Linked DNA regions of Oryctolagus cuniculus. The protein of the gene in region 4 interacts with the protein of the main gene of each other region in a pairwise test. Links are inferred from orthologs where the notes say so. Each region holds a gene or a part of one and is shown on either strand. Other genes may lie near its edges. The genes, in order: ENKD1, NIF3L1, LNX1, CCDC102B, PPP1R18, CCDC33 and FAM161A.

Evidence for each region.
Region 1: the proteins of CCDC102B (region 4) and ENKD1 interact in binary tests that used the Homo sapiens proteins (3 or more experiments, as listed by UniProt). The two-hybrid records come from large-scale screens. The link is inferred for Oryctolagus cuniculus from reciprocal best matches to the Homo sapiens genes CCDC102B and ENKD1.
Region 2: the proteins of CCDC102B (region 4) and NIF3L1 interact in binary tests that used the Homo sapiens proteins (3 or more experiments, as listed by UniProt). The two-hybrid records come from large-scale screens. The link is inferred for Oryctolagus cuniculus from reciprocal best matches to the Homo sapiens genes CCDC102B and NIF3L1.
Region 3: the proteins of CCDC102B (region 4) and LNX1 interact in binary tests that used the Homo sapiens proteins (3 or more experiments, as listed by UniProt). The link is inferred for Oryctolagus cuniculus from reciprocal best matches to the Homo sapiens genes CCDC102B and LNX1.
Region 5: the proteins of CCDC102B (region 4) and PPP1R18 interact in binary tests that used the Homo sapiens proteins (3 or more experiments, as listed by UniProt). The two-hybrid records come from large-scale screens. The link is inferred for Oryctolagus cuniculus from reciprocal best matches to the Homo sapiens genes CCDC102B and PPP1R18.
Region 6: the proteins of CCDC102B (region 4) and CCDC33 interact in a two-hybrid assay, tested with the Homo sapiens proteins (2 studies listed by BioGRID). The two-hybrid records come from large-scale screens. The link is inferred for Oryctolagus cuniculus from reciprocal best matches to the Homo sapiens genes CCDC102B and CCDC33.
Region 7: the proteins of CCDC102B (region 4) and FAM161A interact in binary tests that used the Homo sapiens proteins (3 or more experiments, as listed by UniProt). The two-hybrid records come from large-scale screens. The link is inferred for Oryctolagus cuniculus from reciprocal best matches to the Homo sapiens genes CCDC102B and FAM161A.

Annotation. Positions count from the first base shown.
Region 1 is NC_091449.1:50,907,477-50,911,749, reverse strand, and holds the start of ENKD1 (enkurin domain-containing protein 1), read left to right. Parts: upstream 1-1,473; 5' UTR 1,474-1,574; intron 1,575-1,722; 5' UTR 1,723-1,737; coding exon 1,738-1,822; intron 1,823-1,913; coding exon 1,914-2,081; intron 2,082-2,484; coding exon 2,485-2,657; intron 2,658-4,273. Other genes in the region: C18H16orf86 (uncharacterized protein C16orf86 homolog), read right to left, coding at 1-371, 736-944, 1,142-1,237. UniProt on the Homo sapiens protein: Microtubule-binding protein which regulates microtubule organization and stability. Promotes the stability of astral microtubules and facilitates the proper orientation of the mitotic spindle.
Region 2 is NC_091434.1:39,117,357-39,121,423, reverse strand, and holds the start of NIF3L1 (NIF3-like protein 1), read left to right. Parts: upstream 1-1,267; 5' UTR 1,268-1,369; exon of another isoform or gene 1,370-1,414; intron 1,415-3,123; exon of another isoform or gene 3,124-3,216; 5' UTR 3,217-3,300; intron 3,301-3,397; 5' UTR 3,398-3,422; coding exon 3,423-3,858; intron 3,859-4,067. UniProt on the Homo sapiens protein: May function as a transcriptional corepressor through its interaction with COPS2, negatively regulating the expression of genes involved in neuronal differentiation.
Region 3 is NC_091439.1:110,399,100-110,402,599, forward strand, and holds part of LNX1 (E3 ubiquitin-protein ligase LNX), read left to right. Parts: intron 1-1,437; coding exon 1,438-1,640; intron 1,641-3,500.
Region 4 is NC_091441.1:9,984,277-9,987,776, reverse strand, and holds part of CCDC102B (coiled-coil domain-containing protein 102B), read left to right. Parts: coding exon 1-198; intron 199-3,500. UniProt on the Homo sapiens protein: During interphase, forms fibers at the proximal ends of centrioles to maintain centrosome cohesion. During mitosis, dissociates from the centrosome following phosphorylation to allow centrosome separation. Contributes to CROCC/rootletin filament formation.
Region 5 is NC_091436.1:139,749,969-139,753,468, forward strand, and holds part of PPP1R18 (phostensin), read left to right. Parts: coding exon 1-614; intron 615-3,500.
Region 6 is NC_091443.1:109,313,392-109,316,184, reverse strand, and holds the end of CCDC33 (coiled-coil domain-containing protein 33), read left to right. Parts: intron 1-1,444; coding exon 1,445-1,558; intron 1,559-2,092; coding exon 2,093-2,206; 3' UTR 2,207-2,293; downstream 2,294-2,793.
Region 7 is NC_091433.1:140,941,812-140,945,942, forward strand, and holds the start of FAM161A (protein FAM161A), read left to right. Parts: upstream 1-1,331; 5' UTR 1,332-1,804; coding exon 1,805-1,987; intron 1,988-4,131. UniProt on the Homo sapiens protein: Involved in ciliogenesis.

The DNA.
Region 1 (4,273 bases), on a different chromosome or scaffold from region 4:
CCTCGTCCCCCTCCCCTGCCTGGTTCAGCTCCGGGTTGCAGTAGTTGATGTACTGGTACAGTGGCCTCAGGCGCTGGGCCTTTCCTGCAAGGACCCAGGGCGGGGCAAGGGCTAGAGTGCCAGGCTCTGTGCCATGTTGGGCCAGCAGGCAGGGAGGGAAGAGGAGGCCCAGGGGCTGCCACTCACGCTCTGGTCCCAAGGCCTCTGAGGGGGCAGGCACTGTGCTGGCCATGGCGGCCAGCACAGGAGCCCCAAGACTCTTGCGTTTCTTTGCTTTCTTGTGCTGTTTCGGGGATGGTGAGGGCTCACTCTGGCTTCCCTCCGACTCCTCCCTCTGCAGCAGTAGCCCTGGTGACAGCTCAGCTTCAACCCTAGGATGGGCATGGAGACTAGAGCTGGGGAGGCTGGGGGACTGCAGCCAGGGACAAGGGGCCTGCCAAGCCAGCCCCCAGGCCCTAGGCCTAGGGAAGAGCCCTGCCTACCCACCACCCCAGGGCTGGTTACCTGTCCCTTTCCTGGTCAGTGAGGCCCCAGGCCCAACCGGGGCCCAGAGCTCATGTGAGCCAAGTCCTCATCTCCCGTGGTGCTCCCCACAGCAGGAAGCAGAAAGGGTTGAGGGCACTGGTAGTGGGAGGAGACAAGAATCTGCTCTACAGGAGAGCAGGACCTAGAACCCCACTAGGGTGTGAGCCCCACGCCTCAGCCCTGCGGCTCTCTCCCTGGAAGCCTCCTCACTTGACTGGCTTCCTCTTGGGCCCATGACCAGGCCTCATGGGGGAGGCCATAGGCCTGGGGCCTTTCTCCTCTGGTGCTTCCACCTGCGGCTTGAGCGCTCGTTCCTGGAGCTCTGGCTCTGAGGCATGTCCTCTTGGACACCTGTCTGCACCTGGGGTCCTGCAGGCCTCGTAGGCTGGCTCCAGGCACTGAGCTTCCATCACTGGGCACTAGAAGTGACACATAGGCAACTGGTCACCATGGTTAGGTAGAGTCTATAGCCATAAGTCAGCTGGTGCCCAGCATTAGCCACCAAACACGGGGTGGAGGGCACCAGCCCATGCCCAGCCCCAGCTTGGTCATCCGGAGTCCGGTCCCCCAGTGTGGCACGGCCAGGGTGTGAAGGCTTCACAGCCTTGGCCATCACCTCAGAGCGGCCACTGGGTGCCTTCACGAGCTGTGCCGGCCCCACGGCCACCCCTTCCTGGGCTCCTGGCGGCCTCTCCGCCCCTGCCGAGGCCATGGCTGCGCGGGGTCAACGCGTCCTCGCCGGTTACCTACGGAGAGAAGGGAGACGAGCCATGAGGGGCTGCACTGGTGGGCCCTGAGCTGACCACAGAGACTGGCTGGGAAGCGAGCTGCGAAGGGAAATTGGTGGTCGCCCCACCTGCCCTCGGCTGGAACTACAAGCCCCAGAAGGCCTTGCGCCAGGGTCACTGCCCCTGACCTCAGGGACGGAAGCCATTCGTTGCCTGGCAACAGCAACTCCCTTCGCGGTGCTGCAGCTGGCGGCAAAACTGCTAGAGTGAGCCGGGCTCGGGGGTTACCGGGAAGAGGCCGCGAACCCCGAAGGGACGTGGGTTAGCGGCGGGGCGGGAGACGAAGGGGGCCGGGAATGGGGGGCACTGCCATGGTCTGGGTCTAGGTGGAGGGAGGAGGCGCAGGGCTGGGGAAGGGAGTCCCGGGCGGGAGGTGCACAGCCTGGCAGGCCTCGGTGCACCGTTGCAGGGCGTCGAGGACAGCATGTGCGAGGGCCCGTCCCGCATCTCGGGGCCCATCCCCCCAGACCCCACGCTCTGCCCAGACTACTACCGGCGGCCGGCCTCAGGTGAGTCGGGGGTGCTGCGGAGGGGGCAAGGCCCGGGATCGCCTGCCGCTCCACCGCTGAGCTCCGCACTCGGCCCTGTCCCGCCCCTCAGCCCAGGGCCGCCTCGAAGGAAACGCGCTGAAGCCGGACGCCACCCCACCCCGCGGGCCCCGCATCAGGCCCGGAGGCCGAGAGATCTTGGAGCGTGGCTGGCGAGGCGTAGGGGGCGTGCTGCTGCAGCTCGAGGGCATCTCCCTCAGTCCGCGGGTCTCGCCCAAGAGTAAGTCCGGCAGAAGGGGCAGTGAGGCAGTTGGAAATCAAAAGCGGCTGTCCCTTCCCTGACCTGGGCCCAGGCTTTGCCTCTCTTGAGCGTCAGTTTCCCGCGGGAGGGAACCTCATTAATTCATGCATCAAAACGTGTTTCCTGTGTGGCAGGCCTTGTGGGTGCCAGGAAAGCAGGGTCGTAGGCAAGGTGGGAGGCAGTAAGTGAAGACATGAGGCGATCCAGGGTATTTACTGAAAAAATACAGAAAATAACGAGGGGAGATTTACATGCAGGCAGGGGAGCGAGGGGAGGTCTGGTGTGTAGACAGCGTCTGGCAGACACAGAAACCGGGAGATCTTTCTGGAGAGGGCGGGCAGGGAGCTGGTCAGGGCAGAGCCTGGGAGCACCTTTCCCCCAGGGAAGGACCCTAAAGACCATGAGAAGGAGAACCTGAGGCGGATCAAGGAGATCCAGAGACGCTTCCGGGAGCAGGGCCACGGCCGGGAGCAGGGCCAGCCCCAGCCGCTGAAGGCTCTGTGGCGCTCACCCAAGTATGACAAGGTGGAGTCTCGAGTCAAGGCCCAGCTGCAGGTACCCGCCCCAAGGAGCCGAACCCTGGCCTGCACTGTGGGGAGGGAGGCACCTGATGCTGTCATGGCGTGGGGCTGGGGTCACTTCTCAGAAGTGGTCATGGCTATGCTGGTCATGAATGGCAAGTAGGGATTGGGCAAGGGGAGAGTAGTATAGAATATTCCAGAAAGAGGGCGGGCGTGTGGCCTAGTGGTGCAAACGCTGGTTCGGAAGCCTGTATTCCACATCAGGGTGGGTGCTGGGTTCCGTCCCCAGCTGCGGCTCTTTGACCCCAGGGAGGCAGTGGTGAAGGCTGCTCCACCTGAGGGACGTGGGTCGCACTCCTGGTGCCCAGCCTCAGTCATTACAGGCACCTGGGGAGTGAACCAGGCAATGGGAGCTCCGTCTCTCTGCCTCAGGAAAGGAAAAGAAAAAAAAAGCAAAGTGTAATTAAAAGAAAAAAAAATAAAGAACATGCCACAGAGATGGAACCTCACAGGCGGGAGTCCGGAGACCAGCGGGAGCAGGCAGTGAAGGTGCCAGGTTCTCTGCTAGCAGTGTGGCTCCCACTGGGAGAGGGGAAAAGCATGAGGTTAGGCCAGGAAGTCAGCCGGAGCTACGTCATAAAGGACCCCCAAGCCGCTTCCCTTTTTTTCTCCCTCCTCCCCTCCCTTGCTCTCTTTCTCCACTTCTTCCTTCCTCCTCCTTTCCGAGAACCAGAGCGCTCCCATGTGCTGGGTCACTCTCCGAATGCCCACAGTGGCCAGGCCAGGAGCCATCACCACTGCCTCCCAGTGTCTGCATTAGCAGGAAGCTGGGGTCAGCAGCCAGAGCTGGGGATGGAACCTAGGCACTCTGATGTGGAACATGGGGTCTTAACTGTCTAAGCCACTTTCTGGAAAAATTGGATTTATTTGACAGAGAATGCTAGATCCTCCATCCATTGGTTCACTCCACAAATGCCTGCAACAGCTGAGGCTGGGCCAGGCTGAAGCCAGGAAACCAGAACTGAATCCCATATGGGTGGCAGGGACTCAAGTACTTGACCATCACCTGCTACACACACACACATACACAAACATACACACACACAACCCCACACACACCCCAGGATGTATATTAGCAGGAACCTGGAATGAAAAGTGGAGCCCAGACTGGAACCCAGGCACTCTGATAGGGGATGCAGGCATCCTAAGCAATGCCCTTTTTTAATGATTATGGTATTTTCAAAAATGACTGCTTATTTTCATTTACTTGAAAGGCAGATTGAGATATAGAGACAGAAACAAAGGGAGCTTCCATCCTGTGGCTGGGACTGGGCCAGGCAGAAGCCAGGAACCTGGAACTCCATCTGGGTTTCCCTAGTAGAAGGCAGGGTCCCAAGCCCTTGAGCCATCATCTGCTGGCTCTCAGGGTGCAACAGCAGGGAGCTGGACTGGAAGTGAGCAACCAGGACTTCAGCTGGCAGTCTGATATGGGATGCCGACATCTCAAGCGGCAGCTTAACCCACTACACCACCATGGCCACCCCACAGGCAGGGTCTTCACTGCTGTGCCAAATGCCCACCCCGAAGACACTTTTCAAACGCTTACTTTGAGGACAGTGGAAGGGTAGGGCAGGGGTATCATGGTAGGAT
Region 2 (4,067 bases), on a different chromosome or scaffold from region 4:
GGAGTTCTTTTTAACTTCTCCGAGTCTTAAGAGAAGCTCAAGAATAAGTCTATTCCCAAAAAGAAGAAAGAATTAAGGTCATTTTCCTGCTGTCTTCATTCACAGAGGCTCATCTTTATTGTAAATAAGAAAAAGCCTGGGGTGGTATCCCATGTAACAAAAATCCAGTTACAGAAGTGATGAGACCCTATGGAATGAAGCCCAGCAATCTGCTACTTCTACTCACTCTTCTCTAAGAGCCTCTTTGCAAGTCCAATAAGCCAGGTACATTCCCACCTTAGAATCCAGGCACTGGCTGGCAACACTAACACTAACACTTTCTTACAGCTAATTTCCTTACCTCTAGGTCTCTCCTCAAATGTCAAGTCTTACTTACCTCACAGCCCTATTTAAACAGCTGCAGGAGCCAGCACTGTGGCTAGTAGGTTAGGGCTCTGCCTGCTGCCTGCCATCCCATGTGGGCGCGGGTTCGAGTCCCGGCTGCTCCACTTGCAATCCAGCTCCCAGCTTGTGGTGTGGGGAAGCAGCAGAGGATGGCCCAAGCGCTTGGGCCTCTGCACCCACGTAGGAGATCGGGAGAAGGCTCCTGGCTCCCGGCTTCGGATCAGCTCAGCTCCGGCCATTGCGGCCATTTGGGGGAGCGAACCACCGAATGGAAGATTCTCTCTCTCTCTCTGCAACTGTCTTTCAAATAAATAAAAATAAACAAATGTTTAAAAATACAGTGCTCGAAACCCAGGACCTGTACTGTTTTCTCTTCCCAAATTACTTATCACTAACATACTAAACATACTAAATCCTTTCCTTACTTATTCTGCCGTTCCAGCAACACATTTGCCACACAGCACGTTCACTCCAAGTGTCCCAAGAACTAACAGTGCAATACAGGGCTCAGCAAGCCCTTGAAAAAGTAAATGAAAGAATGAATGAAGTTGCCCCACACTTACCCACTTCGGTCAGCACAGCCGTTGTTAAACAGCGAAGATGCAATTGCAGAAGCCTGGACAAGTCTTTCGGTTCTCAATTACGAGTTTGGGGGCCACCGGAAGTCGGGCGCGGGACCCATTAGAGAGAGCCTTCTTACCTCCTCTTTCCTCCCTTCTTCTAATATCAAACCAAAATGACTAGCACTAGGGAAACAATGTGATTTATCCGCTAATTTGAAATTTGACGGCGAGGTGCAGCTCTGTTAACTGCACTGGAGTCCGGAGCATAACCCGGAACTACCCGCCAAACTCAGGCAGTGTTTTGGGTACGACTGTAAAACAGGAGGGACCAACTTCCGCCCTGTTCCTCGCTGCCTATAGCCGAAGGCCAGGAGAGCCGGCTCGGGACGGGAAGTGGTGGCTACGGAGGTGTGCCCGGACTCGTGAGTAGTGGGCAATTTAAACCCGAAGAGAGGAGTTGTGGCAGGGTAGGAGATGACTGTTAGACGTGGGTGCTGCAGAAAAAGAGGGCACAAAACTGCCCTGCTGAACGAGCGCAGAGGGCAGTGGTGGGGCGGGGTTCCCGAGGACCTACACACTGTGCCTTCTGACCCTTCACTGCCTGGGAAAGGCTTGAAGTAGCACTGGAGTGAGCTGGAGACGAAGCAAGGCAGAGTCGTTTGCAGGTCGTATTGGCTAGCGATAACACAGGGGCTCTAGGACAGGCATTGTTCCTGCCTTGTGTTTAAATCTCGCCTGCGTACTACGAGCTGGGCGTTTTTATATTCGTCTTTTTACAGGGCAGAACCTCAGAAGTCAGGTACTTTGCCCGTGGTGGCACAGGTGTGGCCGAGGACTGCGGTCTGGCCTCCGTCAGTGCAGTTCACCAGCGTCCTGGGCTGCCACCCACTGTTCTCGCTGCCTGTGGCTCCGGGCTTGGAGCCGCCCGTTCTCTCGTGGCGGTGTTTCACCGCCTTCTTTCCAAGCGCTCTTTCACGTGTAAACGACGGAAACCCTTCGCGGTGGCACGCCGGCTTTGGAGCTGGCCAGATTTACAAGAGTTGGGAGAGTGGATTAGTATCAGGATATGTAATTGGAGGGTGGAAGTGGTGTCAGAACCATTAGATCTTCCAAGACCTTGCGTGGTTTTGGAAAGTGGTTTTGGTTTCAAAGTTGCCCCTCTTCCAGGCCAGCTCTCTGCCGTGGCCAGGGAGTGCAGTGGAGGATGGCCCAAGTGCTTGGGCCCTGCACCCCATGGGAGACCAGGAGAGCACCTGGCTTCTGCCATCGGATCAGCGTGGTGCGCCGGCCGCAGCGCGCTGGCCGCGGCGGCCATTGGAGGGTGAACCAACGGCAAAGGAAGACCTTTCTCTCTGTCTCTCTCTCTCTCATTGTCCATTCTGCCTGTCAAAGAGAGAAAGAGAGAAAGAGAGAGAGAGAGAAAGAGAGAAAGAAAGAGAGAAAGAAAGAGAGAAAGAGAGAAAGAGAGAGAGAGAGAGAAAGAGAGAAAGAGGGAAAGAGAGAAAGAGAGAAAGAAAGAATTAACCAGGGGTGAGCATTTTGGCATAGTGGTTAGGATGCTGCTTAGGACTCTGGCATTCTATTCTGAAATGCCTGGATTCAAGCCCCAGCTTCTGATTCCGGTTCCCTGCCAATGTACCCCTGGGAGGCAGCAGTGGTGGGTCAAGTCCTTGGGTCCCTGCCACCCATGGGGGAGACCTAGATTGAGTTCTAGGCTTCTGGCTTCCATCTTGTGGTCATTTGAATAAAATATGAAAGTAAATAACAGTGTAAAAAGTAATATATTGAGTATCCACATCCTATTAAAATATTTTTGCAATAGACATTGTGAAAAAATTTATTTTTGCTATCACTGTGTTATGCTTATTCATTAAATTTATAGTTGGCTATATTTCTTGTATTTCACTGTAGTAACAAAAAGCTAATGTACACTCTGGAGGACCTGTGAAGTAGGTTATAGTCTCCATTTTTTATTTTACTTTTTACAACATTTATTTGAAACCCAGAGTTAGAGAGAGAGATCTTCCATCTGCTGGTTCATTCCCCAGATGGCCACAATGGCCTTGGCTGGGCCAGTCTGAAGCCAGGAGTTAGGAATTCCATCTGGATCTCCCATGTGGGTGGCAAAGGTCCAAGCACTTGGTCCATTTTTCACTGCTTTCTCCGGGCGCATTAGCAGGCAGCTGGATCAGAAGTGGAGCAACTAGAATTGAGGATGGCGGCCTTGGAAGAGGCAGCTTAACCCACTGTGCTGCAACGCTGGCCCCAGTCTCTGTTTTTCAGATGAGCAAACAAAAAAGCTACAAGAGGTTAAATGACTGAGCTAAGTGGCAGAGGCAGTATTTGAACCCAGGTTAGTATGACAGCAGCTCTTTGACTCAGATGCTTTGAAGCCTCGGAGGTGCAGGCCTGAACTGTACATGTGTACTCTTCTCTGTGTTTGACTTCAGAAACTGAGCGTTGCCTGCTTGCTGTATGTTGTCATCTTGTGCACGCCTGGCCCCCTCGACAGTCCGGCTTGTCCATTCTCTGAACTGCAGTTCTTCCCGTTCCTTCATGGATCTGAAGGCGCTCATCTCCTCCTTGAATGACTTTGCATCCCTGTCTTTTGCTGAAAGTTGGGACAATGTTGGGTTGCTGGTGGAACCAAGCCCACCACATACTGTGAATACACTCTTCCTGACCAATGACTTGACTGAGCCAGTGATGGAGGAGGCTCTGCAAAAGAAGGCGGATCTCATCCTTTCCTACCATCCACCCATCTTCCTACCCATGAAGCGCATAACCTGGAAGTCCTGGAAGGAGCGCCTGGTGATCCGGGCTTTGGAGAACAGAGTTGCCATCTACTCTCCTCACACAGCCTATGACGCTGCACCCCAGGGAGTGAACAACTGGCTGTCCAAAGGGCTCGGTGAGAAGCCTCTTGTTCTTTCATATTTGATACTTTCTCTACAAATACTTTGAAATTTTAGAATGTCTTTCCAGTAGAGTTTTAATGTTTTAGGGGTAAGCAGGGTATTCTATTTTTATATACTTTGAAATAATGTTGCTGAAATATGGCAATTAAATTGCCTTTGAGAAATGAAACATCTTTTACCCTTAATGAGTGAGGAGAGAGCA
Region 3 (3,500 bases), on a different chromosome or scaffold from region 4:
CACCTGCCGCAGCCCGCTCTCGGGGGTGGGGGTCGGGGCGGAGGAACCTCTGAATTTATCAGAGCCAGGCCTGCGGTGTCAGATCTTTCCAGATGGCAAACGCAGAGGCAGGGCCCAGAGGCTTCCCGGCCTCCGTGTTCCAGCCCGAGCCGCCATCCCCAACACCCCTCTGCGCACTTCTGTTCCAGCTGGGGTGCAGAAGCCGTGCTGTTCCAGGCTGCTGGCTGCCACACGGGGCTGCAGGGGATCCCACGGAGGCCCAGACAGCCGGGCTCTGGGCTGGTGCTGCAGACCAGCAGGCTCTGCCATGCCCAGGCCGGTGCCGCCTTCCCCTCACGGCACTTAAACAGCCGCACTTGGGAAGTAAAGGCTTCACTGCCAGGCTGCCAGGTGGCCACGGTGTGGGGCGGAGCCACAGGGCTGGGAGAGGTTTCTTGGGGAAGGCAGGTCCCTCAGCTGAAAGCAGAGCCCAGGGGAGGGCATTGGAGCAGTGGCCGGATGCTGGCTGGAACACCCACGTCCCGTGGCACAGTTCCCCGGGCCAGGGCGGCAGCTCCACTCCCGATCCCAGCTGCCGGCCGGCGCACACCCCAGGAAGCAGCAGGTGATGGCTCAAGTGGTTGGGTCCCTGCCACCCATGTGAGAGACGCGGACGGAGTTGCCAGCCCCAGCTGTTGCAGGCACCTGGGGAGTGAACTGCCAGAATGGGAGATCTCGCCTTCTCCCTCCTTCAAATAAAATACATTTTTAAAAACAGAGTCTGGAGACACAAGTCAGGTGATCTGTGGGTCTCCTTGCAGCTCTGAATTCGGTGATGTTGGCAGTCCCCGCCTGCAGCTAGCCATTGGCCACCTCTGGGTCCCGACGCAGGTCTCTTAATGTGCATTCCTGGGCAGCAGGGTCCGGGGGCACGGATGACTCCTCGTGTCTGAAAGGTGGGCCCTTCAGGGTGATCGGGGATGACCGAGAGCAGGATTGTTGTGGCCTTGTCTCTCGGCGAGCAAGGGGTGAACTGCAGCTTGTTCCATAGAGCCCACGAGGTCATTCATTCCTGTCCGCTCAGACCTGTGTGCAGGATCAGCCAGACTTTACGCCTCAGGGTTCCAGGGTCCGTGGGGCGCCTGAGAAATGGGCGTGAATGGCGATCGTTGGAAATGGAGTGCAATAAAAATAATAGAAAGGTTATGGGGAACGGGGCGGCCAGGGAGAGCCAGGGAGAGGGATCGTTCAAACAGACTTGAAGGGAAAATTGGGTTTCGGCCCAGGTTGGAAAAGTATTCCAGGCAGAGGAAGTTGGGCTGGCACAGAGGCGGTGAGTGGAACGCAGCCACGGGGAGCGATGAATGGTCCTGTTTGGCTGAACCGGGCTCTGGCGAGATGAGCGGTGGAAATGTCGCTGGGTGGGTGTCTAACAAACGCCGCCTGTGTGCCTTTCAGCCTATCCGAGGCTGTATCACCTGATTCCGGACGGGGAGGTCACCAGCGTCAAGATCACCCGCGCGCATCCCCGGGAAAGCCTCTCCATGAGGCTCGTGGGGGGCAGCGAGACGCCGCTGGTCCACATGGTCATCCAGCACATCTACCGCGACGGCGCCATCGCCAGGGACGGCCGGCTCCTGCCGGGGGACATCGTGCTGAAGGTGGGGGAACCTGTCCCAGCCTGAAACGGGATGTGGACGGAGGGGCCGATGGACGGATGCGGGGGGTGGATGGATGGGCAGATGGACGGACAGATGGGAGGAAGGGAGGGAGGGAGGGAGGGAGGGAGGGAGGAATGGACGGATGGGTGGATGGATGGACAGATGGGAGGGAGGGAGGGATGGACAGATGGGAGGGAGGGAGGGATGGACGGATGGGTGGATGGATGGACAGATGGGAGGGAGGGATGGAGGGAGGGAGAGAAGGAGGGAGGAATGAACGGATGGAGGGATGGATGGACAGATGGGAGGGAGGGAGGGAGGGAGAGAGGGATAGATGGACAGATGGGAGGGAGGGAGGGATGGACGGATGGAGGGATGGATGGACAGATGGGAGGGAGGGAGGGAGCGAGAGAGGGAGGGAGGAATGGACGGATGGGCGAATGGATGGACAGATGGGAGGGAGGGAGGAATGGATGGATGGGCGGATGGATGGACAGATGGGAGGGAGGGAGGGATGGACGGATGGAGGGATAGATGGACAGATAGGAGGGAGGGAGGGAGGGAGGGAGGGATGGATGGACAGATGGGAGGGAGGGAGGGATGGATGGACAGATGGGAGGGAAGGAGGGATGGATGGACAGATGGGAGGGAGGGAGGGATGGACGGATGGAGGGATAGATGGACAGATAGGAGGGAGGGAGGGAGGGAGGGAGGGATGGATGGACAGATGGGAGGGAGGGAGGGATGGATGGACAGATGGGAGGGAAGGAGGGATGGATGGACAGATGGGAGGGAGGGAGGGATGGACGGATGGATGGGGGAGGGATGGAGGGAGAGAGAGAGGGAGGTGGGAGGATGAGTGGACAGCTGAGTGGAAAGGAGGAAGAATGGACGGACAGACAGACGGATGGGTGGCTCGACGAGGGAGCGTAGCAGGTGTGGCTCGTCGCTCTGCATACTTAGTGTGTTCTCAGGACTTCTCAGGCGCGAGTTGTGATTGAGCTGAGACAGGTCCCTCGCCCCGCCGGCCTCTCCCCTTCCTCCCCCTACACAGAGGTTTCTCTCTGTGTGGTTTCGTCTCTGCCCCTCCTTTCCCCACGCCCCCCTCCCCCTTCTCAGCCTTCTTCATCTTCCTGGCCCTTTCCCCGTCTCCTCTTTCTTCTGCCCTCTCTCCTCCCACCTCCCCTTCCCAGGCAGCCTTAGTAAGATACAACTGGAGCTCCCGTGTCCTGGCATTGGCCGGAGAGCGGAGTCGTGGGAAATCGTGTACTTTCTAATGTCACCTGCTGTCCTGTAGTTCAGTGGAGAGCCATGGGAACAAAAGTCGCTCCCCCCGACGCAGACACCCTCAGGGGAGACAGGCAGGAGCCTCATACCCGAGGTGCTGTCCCCCGGGGGCTTCCTAGCAGGAGAGCAGTGAAGGGGGGTTTCCAAAGAGAAAGAGGGAGGGGAGTGTTTATCAGACAGGGTCCACAGTGTTTATCAGACGAGAGACTCCCCCCTGCCCGTGGGTGTCCCGCGTGATGCACAGTCACGTGCACCCCTCCCCCTCCAGGTTGCTGAAGGACAAGTGTCTGTCGCACTGGGAGCCGCTGCTAGGGCAGAGTGATTGACACAGAGGAGAAACGCCTTCCCACCAGGCCCGGGGTAGAGCACACGGCCAGGCCGCTCCTCATCAGGGGCGGGACCTCCGGCTGCCTGGAGGGTTGCGGAGCAGCGCCTTTTAATTCTTGTGGTCTTCAACTGGCGCCTGCAGGCAAAGGGGCTGCCAGGGCTCCAGCAGGCAGCCCTGAGCTCCTCCCTCCCCCACCCCCCCACCTGGCTGTGCCCGGGCCCCAGCTGCTGCCTTGGCGCTGCTCT
Region 4 (3,500 bases):
GTGAAGGAGCTGAGCGAGCTGCGGAAGAGACAGGGCGCGGCCCCTCAGAAGCAGCCCCCGGCCGCCCCCGCTCCCCTCGCTCCTCTGGCGTCCCGGGAACACGGAGATGAACCTGAAGTCGCTTCCCAAACGTGTGAGCGTGTGGGGGAGCGCCTGCTGAGAGGACAGCGCCGGACCCGGGAGACCGTGGGCAGTCGGGTGAGAAGGTCCTCCTGGGCCCGGCGCCGGTGGCGTGGTGGGTTAATCCTCCCCTGAAGCGCCGGATTCCCGTGTGAATGCCGGTTCGAGTCCCGGCGGCCCCTCTTCCCATCCAGCTCTCTGCTGTGGCCTGGGATAGCAGTAGATGATGGCCCAAGTCCTTGATCCAGCTCTCTGCAATGGCCTGGGATAGCAGTAGATGATGGCCCAAGTCCTTGATCCAGCTCTCTGCTGTTACCTGGGATAGCAGTAGATGATGGCCCAAGTCCTTGATCGAGCTCTCTGCTATGGCCTGGGATAGCAGTAGATGATGGCCCAAGTCCTTGATCCAGCTCTCTGCTGTGGCCTGGGATAGCAGTAGATGATGGCCCAAGTCCTTGATCCAGCTCTCTGCTGTTACCTGGGATAGCAGTAGATGATGGCCCAAGTCCTTGATCGAGCTCTCTGCAATGGCCTGGGATAGCAGTAGATGATGCCCCAAGTCCTTGATCCAGCTCTCTGCTGTGGCCTGGGATAGCAGTAGATGATGGCCCAAGTCCTTGATCCAGCTCTCTGCAATGGCCTGGGAAAGCAGTGGAGGATGGTCCAAGTCCTTGATCCAGCTCTCTGCAATGGCCTGGGATAGCAGTAGATGATGGCCCAAGTCCTTGGGCCCCTGCACCCGCGTGGGAGACCCGGAAGAAGCACCTGGCTCCTGGCTTCCCATCGGCACAGGTCCCAACATTGCGGCCATTTGGGGGTGAACTAGCGTACAGAAGACCTCTCTCTCCCTCTCACTGCCTGTAACTCTGCCTCTCAAATAAATACAATCTTTAAAAAAAAAAGTTGCTCTGAGGAACCAGGGGATACCTGCATTTTTGAAGGCCTTCCATAGTGATGAGAAAGGGGAGGTGACGAGGCATTGGTTACCGTGTTCGCTTGCTAGGGCAGTTGTGAGGAATGATTTTTTTTTCTTCGTAACTATTTGTTGACCTCTTAGTGTAGGGTTAATCTTATGAGCATAAAGTTAACTGAAAATAGATCTTAGTAAAAAGAGTGAGAATAGAAGAGGGAGAAGGAAGAAAAGTGGAAGTGTGGGAGAGAGGAAGAGTGGTGGAAGGAAGGGTAGGGTGGAATAATCCCTAAATTCCTAAATTTGAGACGTGAAATATGTGAAGTTTGTACACTTTAAGTAAAAGGTTTCTAGGTTAAAAAAAAAAAAAGTACCAGCTCCTGGGTGGTCTTAGCATCAGAAATGTGGGTATTCAGGTTTTTTTTTTTTTTTTTTTTTTTTTTTTTAAAGATTGATTTATTTACATGAAAGTTAGAGTTTCCAAGAGGCAGAGGTAGAGAAATTCTTCTATCTGGTTCAGTCTCCAGTGGCCAGAGAAGACCAGAGCTGGGCCATTCCAGAGCCAAGAGTTTTTTTCTGGGCCTCCCACATGGGTGCAGGGGCCCAAGGATTTGGGCCTTCTTCTGCTTTCCGAGGTGCATTAGCAGGGAGCTGTATCAGAAGTGGAGCAGCTGGGACTTGAATCAGTACCCCTGTAGGATGCTGATGTTGCAGGTGGCAGCTTAACCTGCTATGCCACAGTGATGCCCTGTATTCACAGTTTTAGAGGATCAAATCTGAACACCAGGCGTCAGGGTTGGATTCTTCTGAGTCTCTTCTTGGCTGATAGTCATTTAATCCCTGTGATCTCACATCTCTTTCCTGTGTCTGTGTGTACAGATTTCCTTTGCCTGTACATATCCCATCATTAGGGCCACCCAATGACTCTTTTGTATCAACCCTTTAAAGGACTTTTCTCAAATAGTTACATTCATAGATAATAAAGGTTAGGATATCAATATACGGATTTTGAGAGAACACAATTCAGCACATATCCGTGACTTGACTAATACTTCTAACAGAATTTAATCCAGCATATTGTCATGTGAAAAGGAAATACTTGAAGAGGTCTCTGTCCACTTATGTCAATAGTAACAAATGACTCATAGGATAGTTTGAATATTTCCCAGGGTTTGGAACTCTGGTCTCACGATTAACTCCTTGTAAAATGGGAACCAGGAAATGCTTTGCATAGTCACTCTTAGACTTATTTAGTATACTTTGAGCTTGACTTTTCTGAGAATTTTGCACAAAATAAACTTAGAAAGTTTCATTTAATCTAGCCATTTATACATTCTTTATCCAGGAATCTCCCCTCCTCATGTTTAACCTGGTAAGGAACCCCATGGAACTTTGGAGAACTTATGGAACTCATTTTACATTGTTATTTCTTCCTACTAAATTCCATCTCTAAAAACATATTATGTATTAGATGGCATCTCTACAATTCTATCTAAAATCTTAAGCCTTTCCATGAAGTGTGGAACTTCAGGTAGGTATAATCTAGATTCCATTATCAATGAAAATTTTTAAAAGGCTGTAATAATGCAATTCCTTTTGTGTATTTAGTCTACTGACATTTTTTTCCTATAGATTTTTTTTAGTATGACAATCTAAGTCATTAGTACCTTTGAATATGTCTCTGGAGAGACAGTATGTATTTTTTTTTTTTTTCCTGTCAGGCAGAGTGGACAGTGAGAGAGAGAGAGACAGAGAGAAAGGTCTTCCTTTTGCCGTTGGTTCACCCCCCAAATGGCCACTGCGGCCGGCCGGCGCACTGCGCTGATCTGAAGCCAGGAGCCAGGTGCTTCTCCTGGTCTCCCATGCAGGTACAGGGCCCAAGAACCTGGGCCATCCTCCACTGCACTCCTGGGCCACAGCAGAGAGCTGGCCTGGAAGAGGAGCAACCGGGACAGAATCTGGCGCCCCGACCAGGACTAGAATGTGGAGTGCCGGAGCCGCAGGCGGAGGATTAGCCTATTGAGCCGCAGCACCAGCCGACAGTATGTATTCTTAAAATTTAGTTGTGTCATGGCATATCTGAGTATTTGAATTAGAGACATAGCTAGTACAATGTTCCTTGAATCCATAAACTAATTCTTGGTTATTACAATGAATTATATGAATGAACCAGGCTTTGCATTTGAAAATGAAGGTTTCTCTTCAAATGTATTATGTTGAGACATTCACAGTATTTTGAGGTTTCATTACAGTATCTCTGTGTCACCACTGTTAAGAACTAATCAGGGGCTGGCACTGTGACGCAGCGGGTTAACGCCCTGGCCTGAAGCGTTGGCATCCCATATGGGCACAGGTTTGAGTCCTGGGTGCTCCACTTCCGATCCAGCTCTCTGCTATGGCGTGGGAAAGCAGTATATGATGCCGGCGCCGTGGCTCAATAGGCTAATCCTCCACCTTGCGGCGCCAGCAC
Region 5 (3,500 bases), on a different chromosome or scaffold from region 4:
AATGGACCCTGAACTCCGGAAAGGCTCGAGAGTGGACACCCAGGGACGCAGAGACTCAGCCTCACAAAGCAGAACCTCCAGAGTCTGTCGAGAGGCGTCTGGGGCCTCCTAGTACAGGGGCTGGAGAAGCCGAGGCAGCAGAGGAGGAGGCGGGGGCTCAGGGCAGGCCTCTGAGAGCCCCGCAGAACCTCCGCTCTGCACCCTCCCCCCTCCCACCAGAGGACGCTGGGACTGCCGGCCCGAGACTGCAGGAAGAGGAAGCAGTGGGACTCCGGCCCCCACCAGCAGCCCCTCTGTCTCCCCCACCCCCAGCCCCTGCTGCTCCCCAGCCCTCTGGGGACCCCCTCATGAGCCGACTGTTCTATGGGGTGAAGGCCGGGCCAGGGGTGGGGGCCCCCCGCCGCAGTGGACACACCTTCACCGTCAACCCCCGGCGGTCTTTGCCCCCGGCCACCCCCGCCGCTCCGGCTGCCCCAGCCCCGGCTGATGCTGCGGTCCCTGGGGCTGGGAAGAAGCGGTACCCGACAGCCGAGGAGATCTTGGTTCTGGGGGGCTACCTCCGTCTCAGCCGCAGCTGCCTTGCCAAGGGGTCCCCCGAAAGACAACACAAACAGGTAGGGGAGCAGCCCGGCCAGACTTCTGGGCCACCCACCTGTCAGTTCCCTGGGTTTTCTGGAATCTGGGCTTGCTTTTTATACCCGCCGTGTTGCTCTGTTCCCTCTCCCGTCGTCCCTGCCACCACCCTTCGTTCTGGAGCCCTGCTTTTCCATTCATTTCGGAGCCCCAGGGACCAGCCCAGCAGTGCTGCTGTCTCTGGGTGTGTCTCCCAGGGTGTGCCCAGCCTGCTCATTCTCCCTTGCCTCCGGCTGAGTCTCACTCCCACCCCACCCCCCTTTGCTTTCCTTCCTTTGCTCTGAGCTGGGACCCACCCCGGCCCATCTGGTGGGAGAGATGTGGGCCCGAGCTTGCAAGATCGAGGTGATCGGGCTGACAGCACTTAGAGCTCTCAAAGAGAGAGGGGGGCAGCAAATATCGGCAGGGAGTCCGGTTTGGGTTCTGGAAGAAGCGGCAGGGAGGAGTGGAGAGGAAGCTCTTATGGCTTTGAGGGCCAGGGAGCCAGAGCCTGGCGGGCGAGGGGATGGGGCAGGGCCTGCTGCGGAGCAGAGAGAAGAAAGCTTTGGAACCCCAAGTGTGCCCCGTGGGAGAGAAGCACACAGAGGCCATTTGAAGTGGGTGACCTCGGGGTTGCATACCCCCCAGCTGGGCCACTGCCTCAGACAGTACTCCCTTCTCTCGGGACAAGAACAGCCTTTTCCTCTTCCAAAATACCCCCACCCCCCCACCCCCTGTCCTTCCTCCCTGAGCTGCCCCTCCCTCTCCAGAACTGGCTCAGCAGTAGCTTTTCCCCCCTCTCTTCCTGCCACCCTGGCCTCCCCCTCACCGCCACCCCAACAGCGGTAGAAAGAGAAGTGCATCTGGGCCCCAGGGTACAGCAGCAGGTGGGGGCTGAGACTGGCAGCGGGTCTGAGGTTGGACTGAGGCTGGGACACACAGGGGAAGTGGCAGCAGCCAGGCTGACTTCTCCCCCTGGCCGTGGCCCAACGCCTGCCCTGGGCACATCAGTTTCCAGTTTGAAAATCCCTAGGGAGCAGTCCCACACTTGACCTTGCAAGCAGACGTCTTTCCACTCCCAGCCTGGGAAGCCCCGTACCCGGCTCCTTCGGCGTGTCATGGCCTCAGATGTGTTGTCTTGGGTCCCCATTGTTGGTGGGAAGCCGCAGGGACCAAAGACCTGGCTTAAGCTTGGAGGTCATTTGGTCACTTTGCATCTTCAGCTGCCTCTGCGAGTTTACCTTGAACCCTCTGTCTGCTTCCAGCCCCTTTCCCTTGGAGCTGGGCAGAGGCAAAGGAGGGAGGTCTGGAAATTCTGCCTGGGTGTGGTGTTCAGAAAACTCACTTCCCCCTGAGGTTTGCTCGTCCTTTGGGGAACCAGCGGAGGGAGGCATGAAGCGTTGGGGCTTAAAGCCCAGGGAGCATCCAAGGGGAGCCGGGAACTAACAACTGGGCAGGGCCAGTGCTGGTGACCATACCCAGGTCAGGGAGTAGGGCAGCCGGAAGCAGATCGCCCAAACAGGAAACCTGGGGTGGGGGCCGGAAAGCTGGTGGGGCTGAGTGGGCCCTGGGCCTGCCAGAACTGTGCTCAGGATGTGGTGAGAGAATAAGGAAGCAGCCCGCTGGGGTGCAGTGGGGGCGGGGAAGAGGCAGCTCACCCTCTGCCCAGCCTCAGGCCTTCTCCTCTCCCTCAGCGCCTGCTCAGCAGGGGCGGGTGTGTCCTGGCCCAGCTCAGCCCCACCCACCCTGGCTCAGCGAAAGGACGACCCTGCCACCCTACCCCACCCTGCCTTCCTGGAATAACTGCCGTTTGCAGGCTAATTCCATCAAATTGATCCCTGCTACCAGCGGAGATGCCAGCCCTGCCACTCACTGGAGCCCAGGATATGGGCTGTGGCTGGTGCCTTCCCCGGAGGCCCCGCCCTTCTCCGGCCCCCTGGGTGACCTTATATAGCAGATGAGAGAGAAGCCAGTGAGTCACCCCCCACTCCCCCCCCACTCTCATGCAGACTCTGCATTCCTGAGACGCCCAGTCAGAAGTGGAGGGGGTAGTGGAGAGAGGCAGAGTTGGGGGAGACTCAGGGCAAATAGAATGCAGAATAAAACTACAGAGGTGGTCTTCCCAAAAGAGGCTCTGAAGAGGAAACAAATGGATTCCTAGAAATTTGGGTAAACCCGCTAGCAACAGAATCCAGGAGCCACAGACCAGAGACTGGCTTGTAAGCAATGTAGTTGCTGTCACTTGATTCTACATGGCATCAGGGCCACCTGTATACCCCTACCTGGCCCCCCAGCCTCGGTCCTGTGTTGGGACCTCATCTGAGGTCGGAGATAGCTGAACCTCCGCATTCCGAGACTTCCATCAACAGCAGATACCCACATAGTAAGTGCAGTTGGCCCTCGCTGTGCATGGCGTCCACACACAGAGGACAGGAAGTATTTGGAAAAAACAAAAAGTCACATGTGTGCTAACCACGTGCATCCTCTTTATCTTGTTGTTACCCCCTAAACAACACTGGAACATTCACTGTCATAGCATTTACACAGTATTCAATGTTGGAAGGCACCTAGATGTGATTTAAAGTACATGAAAGGATGTGTGTCGGTTCTCTGTGCCATTTTCTTTTCTTTTTTTTTTTTTTAAGATTTATTTTAGGCAGGTGCTGTGGCTCACTAGGCTAATCCTCCACCTGTGGCACCAGCACCCCGGGTTCTAGTCCCGGTCGGGGCGCCGGATTCTGTCCCTGTTGCTCCTCTTCCAGGCCAGCTCTCTGCTATGGCCCGGGAGTGCAGTGGAGGATGACCCAAGTGCTTGGGCCCTGCGCCTGCGTGGGAGACCAGGAGAAGCACCTGGCTTCGGATCGGCACAGCGTGCTGGCCGCAGTGGC
Region 6 (2,793 bases), on a different chromosome or scaffold from region 4:
TGGGACCGGGATCAGGGCTCAGGGGGTGTCCAGGGTCAGGGCTCAGTGTGGGACCAGGATCAGGGCTCAGGGTGTGTCCAGGATCAGGGCTCAGTGTGGGGCCAGGGTCAGGGCTCAGTGTGGGGTCAGGGTCAGGGCTCAGTGGTGGGACCAGGATCAGGGCTCAGTGTGGGACCAGGGTCAGGGCTCAGTGTGGGACCAGGATCAGGGCTCAGTGGTGGGACCAGGATCAGGGCTCAGTGTGGGTCCAGAATCAGGGCTCAAGGGGTGTCCAGGATCAGGGCTCAGTGTGGGGCCAGGGTCAGGGCTCAGTGTGGGACCAGGGTCAGGGCTCAGTGTGGGACCAAGGTCAGGGCTCAGTGTGGGGCCAGGGTCAGGGCTCAGTGTGGGACCAAGGTCAGGGCTCAGTGTGGGGCCAGGGTCAGGGCTCAGTGTGTGTCAAGGGACAGGCTCAGTGTGGGGCCAGGGTCAGGGCTCAATGTGGGACCAGGATCAGGGCTCAGTGTGTCCAGGATCAGGGCTCAGTGTGGGGCCAGGGTCAGGGCTCAGTGTGTGTCCAGGGTCAGGGCTCAGTGTGCACCAGGGTCAGGGCTCAGTGTGGGACCAGGATCAGGGCTCAGGGGGTGTCCAGGATCAGGGCTCAGTGTGGGGCCAAGGTCAGGGCTCAGTGTGGGGCCAGGATCAGGGCTCAGTGTGGGGCCAGGGTCAGGACTCAAGGGGTGACCAGGGTCAGGACCAAGTGTGGGACCAAGGTCAGGGCTCAGTGTGGGACCAGGGTCAGGGCTGAGTGTGGGGCCAGGATCAGGGCTCAGTGTGGGGCCAGGGTCAGGGCTCAGTGTGTGTCCAGGATCAGGGCTCAGTGTGGGGCCAGGATCAGGACTCAAGGGGTGACCAGGGTCAGGACCAAGTGTGGGACCAAGGTCAGGGCTCAGTGTGGGACCAGGGTCAGGGCTGAGTGTGGGGCCAGGGTCAGGGCTCAGTGTGGGACCAGGATCAGGGCTCAGGGGGTGTCCAGGGTCAGGGCTCAGTGTGGGGCCAGGATCAGGGCTCAGTGTGGGACCAGGATCAGGGCTCAGTGTGGGACCAGGATCTAGGATCACGGTCTGACCAGGGTCGGGGCTCAGTGTGGGACCAGGATCAGGGCTCAGGGGGTGTCCAGGATCAGGGCTCAGTGTGAGACCAGGATCTAGAATCATGGTGTGACCAGGGTCGGGGCTCAGTGTGGGACCAGGATCAGGGCTCAGCACGCTGCAGGAATGCAGGGAGGTCCCTCTGCATTGTCTCACTGGGTGGCCCCCTCCCCTCCCCTGCTGCTCCTGGGGTCATGGGAAGATCAAGGCCATACTCCCCAGAGCTTTGCTTTCCCCCGGGCCTGCTTGTCCTGGCTTTCAGGGACAGGCCCTGCTGCCCACTGCCCACCAGTTGTCCCCCTCTGTGCCCGCAGTTGGAGGACTCGGCTCGGCGCTGGGGGCGGGAGAAGCAGGACTTGGCCATGCGCCTGCAGGAGCAGGAACACGGCTTTGGGCGCCCCTCAAACTCCATCATCATAGACGCCCCCGTGAGTGGCCCCTCCGTGGGAGCAGCTGCTGGGGCTGGGAGCCACCCCACCCCTTAAGTCACTGAGACAGACTGGGCGGAGCCGCTCCTGGGCTCTGGGTCCTGCTGTGTCCCCACCACCCTTGCTCTGGCCCCATTCCTGCCCCTGCTGAGCGGAGAAGACCCTTCGAGGCCGCCCTGGCCTTGCGGTGGCCAGGAGACACCTGGAGGAGGTGACCAGGAGACGCCGGGTGCTTCCTGCACCCCATGGGTAGCTTGTGGCCCCCAGCCTGGGATGGCACAGGCTCCTTCTCAGGAGACGGCACAGCCACTGTCTCCCCAAGAACCCCCACGCTCGGCCTGTCCACTCTCTGCTCACGTACGGAGGCGTGGTGGCTGGGTTGGGAGGGAGGCTCACAAAGGACTAGGGGACCGACAGGGGACGCCCCTGGGCACCGTGGGGGGCACCTGCTGGCCCCCTGGGTTTTGGATCCTGGGAGGCCTGCTGTGGCCGGCCCACCCGGGACACGGGGCGCTCACCCCCCTCGCCTTGCAGCCATGGAAAGCCTCGACCCCCGCCAAGGACCTCGAGCGTCCCTCGGATCTGGAGCCCCTGCCGCCAGGCTCGGACACGAAGCTCGGCAAGCCCGCGGACCCCCAGCAGACCTGAGCTCCAGAGCAGGCCTCCCCCGCTGTCCTGGGGGTCTCCCCGCGGCCCCAGCCCACCCTGTGACTTCATTAAACATTGGAGCACCAAGAGCGTCGGCCCGTTTCCTAGAGCGGCGTGGCCTTGGGCCAGCCTCCGCCTCCCGGGGCTAGCAGCAGGGCCGGCCAAGGAGCTATGTCTCCATCTAGCCAGGTGGGCGCACCAGGCGGGCAGGACTAGCCCACAGCGCCGGGCTCCCTGCTCCCACAGCCGGGCTCCACCTGCACCTCTGTTGGCTGCCCGGGCACAGGGAAGCTGCACCCCCACACACACGCTCTGCCTGGCCCCCAGCCCCCTGCTGGCTCCTGAGCTGCCAGCAGCAGGCAGGTCTCCACGGAGAGGGCCTCTAAGTGGGTGCCTGAGCCCCTGAGGCTTCTGTACTGGGTGACAAACACCCCAGGGGCTCCAGGGGAAGGAAGACCCTCCGTGCGGTTCGGCCGTTTATTGTCCTGATGAGGGCGAGGAAGGGGCAGAGTGGGGAAGAGGAGCGGGGTGGGGCCAGAGATGAACCGACAGCCGTGACTCCCCTCACTGGTGGGGCGGGGCCTTCC
Region 7 (4,131 bases), on a different chromosome or scaffold from region 4:
CTGCCTGTGGCACTAGCACCCCATATGGGTGCCGATTAGTGTCCCAGCTGCTCCACTTCCACTCCACCTGGGAAAGCAGCTGGCCTACGTGGGAGACCCAGAAGAGGCTCCTGGCTTTGGTCTTACCTTGGCGGTTATGGCCATTTGGGGTGTAAACTAGCAGATGGAAGATCAATCTCTCCTTCTCTAACTGCCTTTCAAATAAATACATGAATCCTAAAAAACAACAGGGGAGACGGAGATGGCATTCCAGATTGCTGGTTTAGGCGTGGTGCAGCCCTAGCCAATGTGGCCATTTGGGCCATTGAACCTGCGGACGAAGATCTGTCTTTGTCTTCCTCTCTCTAACTTTGGCTTTCAAATAAATTTTTAAAAAACTTTTAAAAAGTAAATAAAAACTTCCCCTCTTAAATAATCATTTCCCCCTAAATAAAAGTTACCTGCTTGTGGAGTTAGACTTTGGAAATGATTCTTCGTGGTTTCCTCATTTGCTGCAGGTAAGTTACTTTGTTTTGTTTAAGATTTTATTCATTTATTTGAGAGGTAGAGTTAGAGTAGAGACAGAAAGGTCTTCCATCTGTTGGTTCACCCCCCAAATGGCCGCAGTGGCCGGAGCCGCGCCCATCCGAAGCCAGGAGCCTCTTCCGGGTCTCTCTTGCGGCTGCAGGGACGCACGCACCTGGGCCATCCTCCACTGCCTTCCCAGGCCACAGCAGAGAGCTGGACTGGAAGAGCAGCAGCTGGAACTAGAACCGGCGCCCCTGGCCGCAGGCGGAGGATTAACATATTGAGCCTCGGAGAAGGCCCCCAGATAAGTTGCTTTGTGTGACAGCTCCTCCCGGTGTTTCTTAGAACTCGCCAGAAAGCGGGACCACACTTTGGAGTGACAAAGGCCCTTAACAGAACGGGAAATAGTGCAGACTTGGCCAGGGGCGAAGGAATCCAAATGATAGGGCGAGGAAAGGGGCGGCGGCCTTGGTCTCACCAAGGAGGGGCTGAGGCAGCATGTGACACTCTGGCTTGGCCTCTTGCAGCCACGTGGTGAAGGGAAGGAGCCAGTGGAGGCGCCCCAGTGCCCAGTGGGAAGGTGGCGGGGGTGAGGTGGAATGAAGGTGTGTCTATGGCGCGTCGGACACTGGCGCCCTCAGTCCCCGCCACTCATAGGCCTGCGACTCCAAAGCGAGCATCGCGTTCTGTACGGGTATCGTCATTGGTGGGCGGGCCAGGCGCCACCCTACCCTGGGCTTTTTATTGGTCAGGTCAAAAAAATCGCGCGAGAGTCACCTAGCAGCCTCCTTCTGATTGGCTGATTCCTGCTCAGGTCAATCCTTCCCCTTCTCTTGCTCTGAGGCAGCCATGTTTGGTATTGGGATACAAATCTTGACATTCTTCTGAGGTCACTTCACAATAAGATGCTACTCTCCTCCGCCATCATCCCCTCCCAACCTGGTATTCCAGTTAATAAAAATGCGCTCTTGTCTTCACAAAACGGGTGTGTTATGATAGTGTCAGAAGTCTGCGTTTAGGTGACCGGAGGGGAAGAGGTGCCCTTTTCCGTCCGCAATCTTCTAATCCAGCAAACAGATTTAGTTCTGACTCCCATTCTCCAGTTGAGTGACGGACTCGGGTCCCAGGCAGCCCGAGAAGCTTTTTAGTCTTTTGATCCCTCGCAGCCCCTGTAGCGTCCCTAGTTACCGCGCCCCTAGTAACCGCCGGCTGTAAGCGAGGAGCCGCCGGGTCTCCCGGGCCGCGCCAGCTTACCCGCCCCGGGCCAGCGCTGGCGCTCCGGCCTCGGAGGCGGGTGATGGCCGCCTCACACCGAGAGGCCAGGCTGGCGGCCGCCAGTCTCCAACTCCCGGTAAATCCCAACACCGGAGCGCGGGTCGCCCAGTACGAACGCGAAGACCCCTTCACTTCCCTGACGGCAGCGGCGGCGGCCTCGGAGGATGAAGACGACTACAAAGTTGTGCGGCCTGAGCGAGTGGCGGTACAGCGGGGGCACGACCGGGGATGGGACTGGGCGCGGGCTAAGGGCTGGTCCCGGTCCCCGCCAGGCTGATTTCCGGCTGGGAGACGCGGTGCCGCGTGCAGATCCTCCCGACCCGGTCCCCGGCCCACCTCTTTCTCTGCCCCCACAGAAAATACTCGACACGGAGGCGTGGGAAGGCCTTTTAATTTTCACCGAAGAGATTACTATAAAAATTTCTTGGAGGGCATTCATGTCACTCCATTTTCTAGACAGTTCAAAGTACAGAATTTTATTCCCTACTCTTTAAGTATCTGTTGGGAATGAACAGCCAGTATTCGCGTTTTTTTGTTTACTTAACGAGGAAAATTAATCTATCCCTTGGTGGATAATCCCTGAAGAAACAGGTGCATCAGCTGTGCTATCAATTGTACTTTAGTGTTACCTGACGGGTGTTTAAAACATCAAGATGGTGGGTAAATCGACACACGTACAGATAAATAGCCAGAGAAGCAAATTACTGAGATTCCAGTGCTTCCCAAATGACTCCTCAGGGTGGGAGGAAACAGCCTATTCGTTGATCAGTTTTCAGAGCCACATGTGTCCTGCTCGCAAGTCCACCAGGTTCAGCGTTCTTTAATTTGTCCAAAGCGTCTCATAAGCTAACTGTCATGGCCTGGGTCTAGTAGAAATAAATAACTGCATGTTTTGGAATTGTTATCTGTACTCTAAAGCTATTAATGAAAAATTTTGTAGCAGCATTTTGTATGGCCAATATCTCTCCAACAGGGTAACAACTCATGGTTATCCCTAAGTAAGGCAGCTGGAGACCCTGAACATGAACCAGGGGAAGCATCCGAGGACCAGCTTTGCTGTAATAAAGCTCCCCCCACCCCCACCCCTCACACAATTTTCAGTGGGCAACAAAGGAGGCACAGTGATGGAGGAAAAAAATCTTTGAATGGAGGAAAAGAATTTGGAATCCTGAAGTCGAATCCATTCTCTGCCATGTGCTGGGTGATGTTAGCACATAACTTCCTTAAAATCTCAGTTTCTTTCTCTGAACAAAAAGAATAATTGTCTCTCTTTCCCAGCTGACCTAGCTAATATAAGATCCAAATAAGATAATGTATGTTTTATTGAAAGCACAATTTATATAAATAATAGTTATTTAATTTTTTCAATTTATTTATTTAAAAGGCAGAGAGCTAGAGACAGAGACAAAGAGGGATCCTTCGTATGTTGGTCCCCCAAAAGCCTGCAGTAGATATGGCTGGGCCAGGTTGATACTGGTAATTGGGAACTCCATTTGGATCTCTCACGTGGATAGCAGGTACATAAGTACTATCAGAACCATCACCTGCTGCCTCTCAGGTCATGTATTAGCAGGGAGCTAGAATTGGAAGCGGAGTCAGGACTTGAACCTAGGCACTCTGATACAGGATGCAAGCAGTATCTTAACCACTGTGCCAAGCACCCACCCCAAATTAAAACAACTGCCCATGGGACTGCCATTTGAACAACTTGCCCTAAGATGACAGTGTGATTTGGCTGCTGTGGTAGGGGAGTCAGTCATTTATCTGTAGTGGTAATTACACTTCCAGAGGGCCTGTTAAGCTAAAATGTATACTACAAACTAATATTACCTTAGGAGAGATTAGTTTGTACAATGAGCTAGTTTCAAAAGGATGGGGACCTACCCAAAAAAGAAAACTAAGTCTTATGAGTTTGACACTGTTCTGAGGCCATCGTACCTGACAGATCCCAGAAGTAAACCTTGATAAGCTACCACAGAAAGTCCCACAGGGCAGAAAGTTCTGGGGCTGGAGGAAAAAGTGCTGAAAAGACAGGGAAGAGAGTGTAGGAGTCAGATATTTGCCTTCAGATTGGTTAGAGTCTCTATCTCAAATTTTCAGGGTTAATTTGTTTCAGTTTTGTCAAATATAACATGTAAATGCAGATACCATACCCACCAGAACTATCACAATAAGCTTCTGTTAGTCCTTTTGTTTTGCCAAAGCCAGTCTACCCCATCACTTCCATGCACCATAACCCCCTCCTGTATACATATACCCTTACGTGATTCTTTGACCTTGTTTGGGCACTTAGGTATGGTGCTTGAATCTAGTTTGGAGATATCAGTTTATAGGTCCTGCTATGTGGGT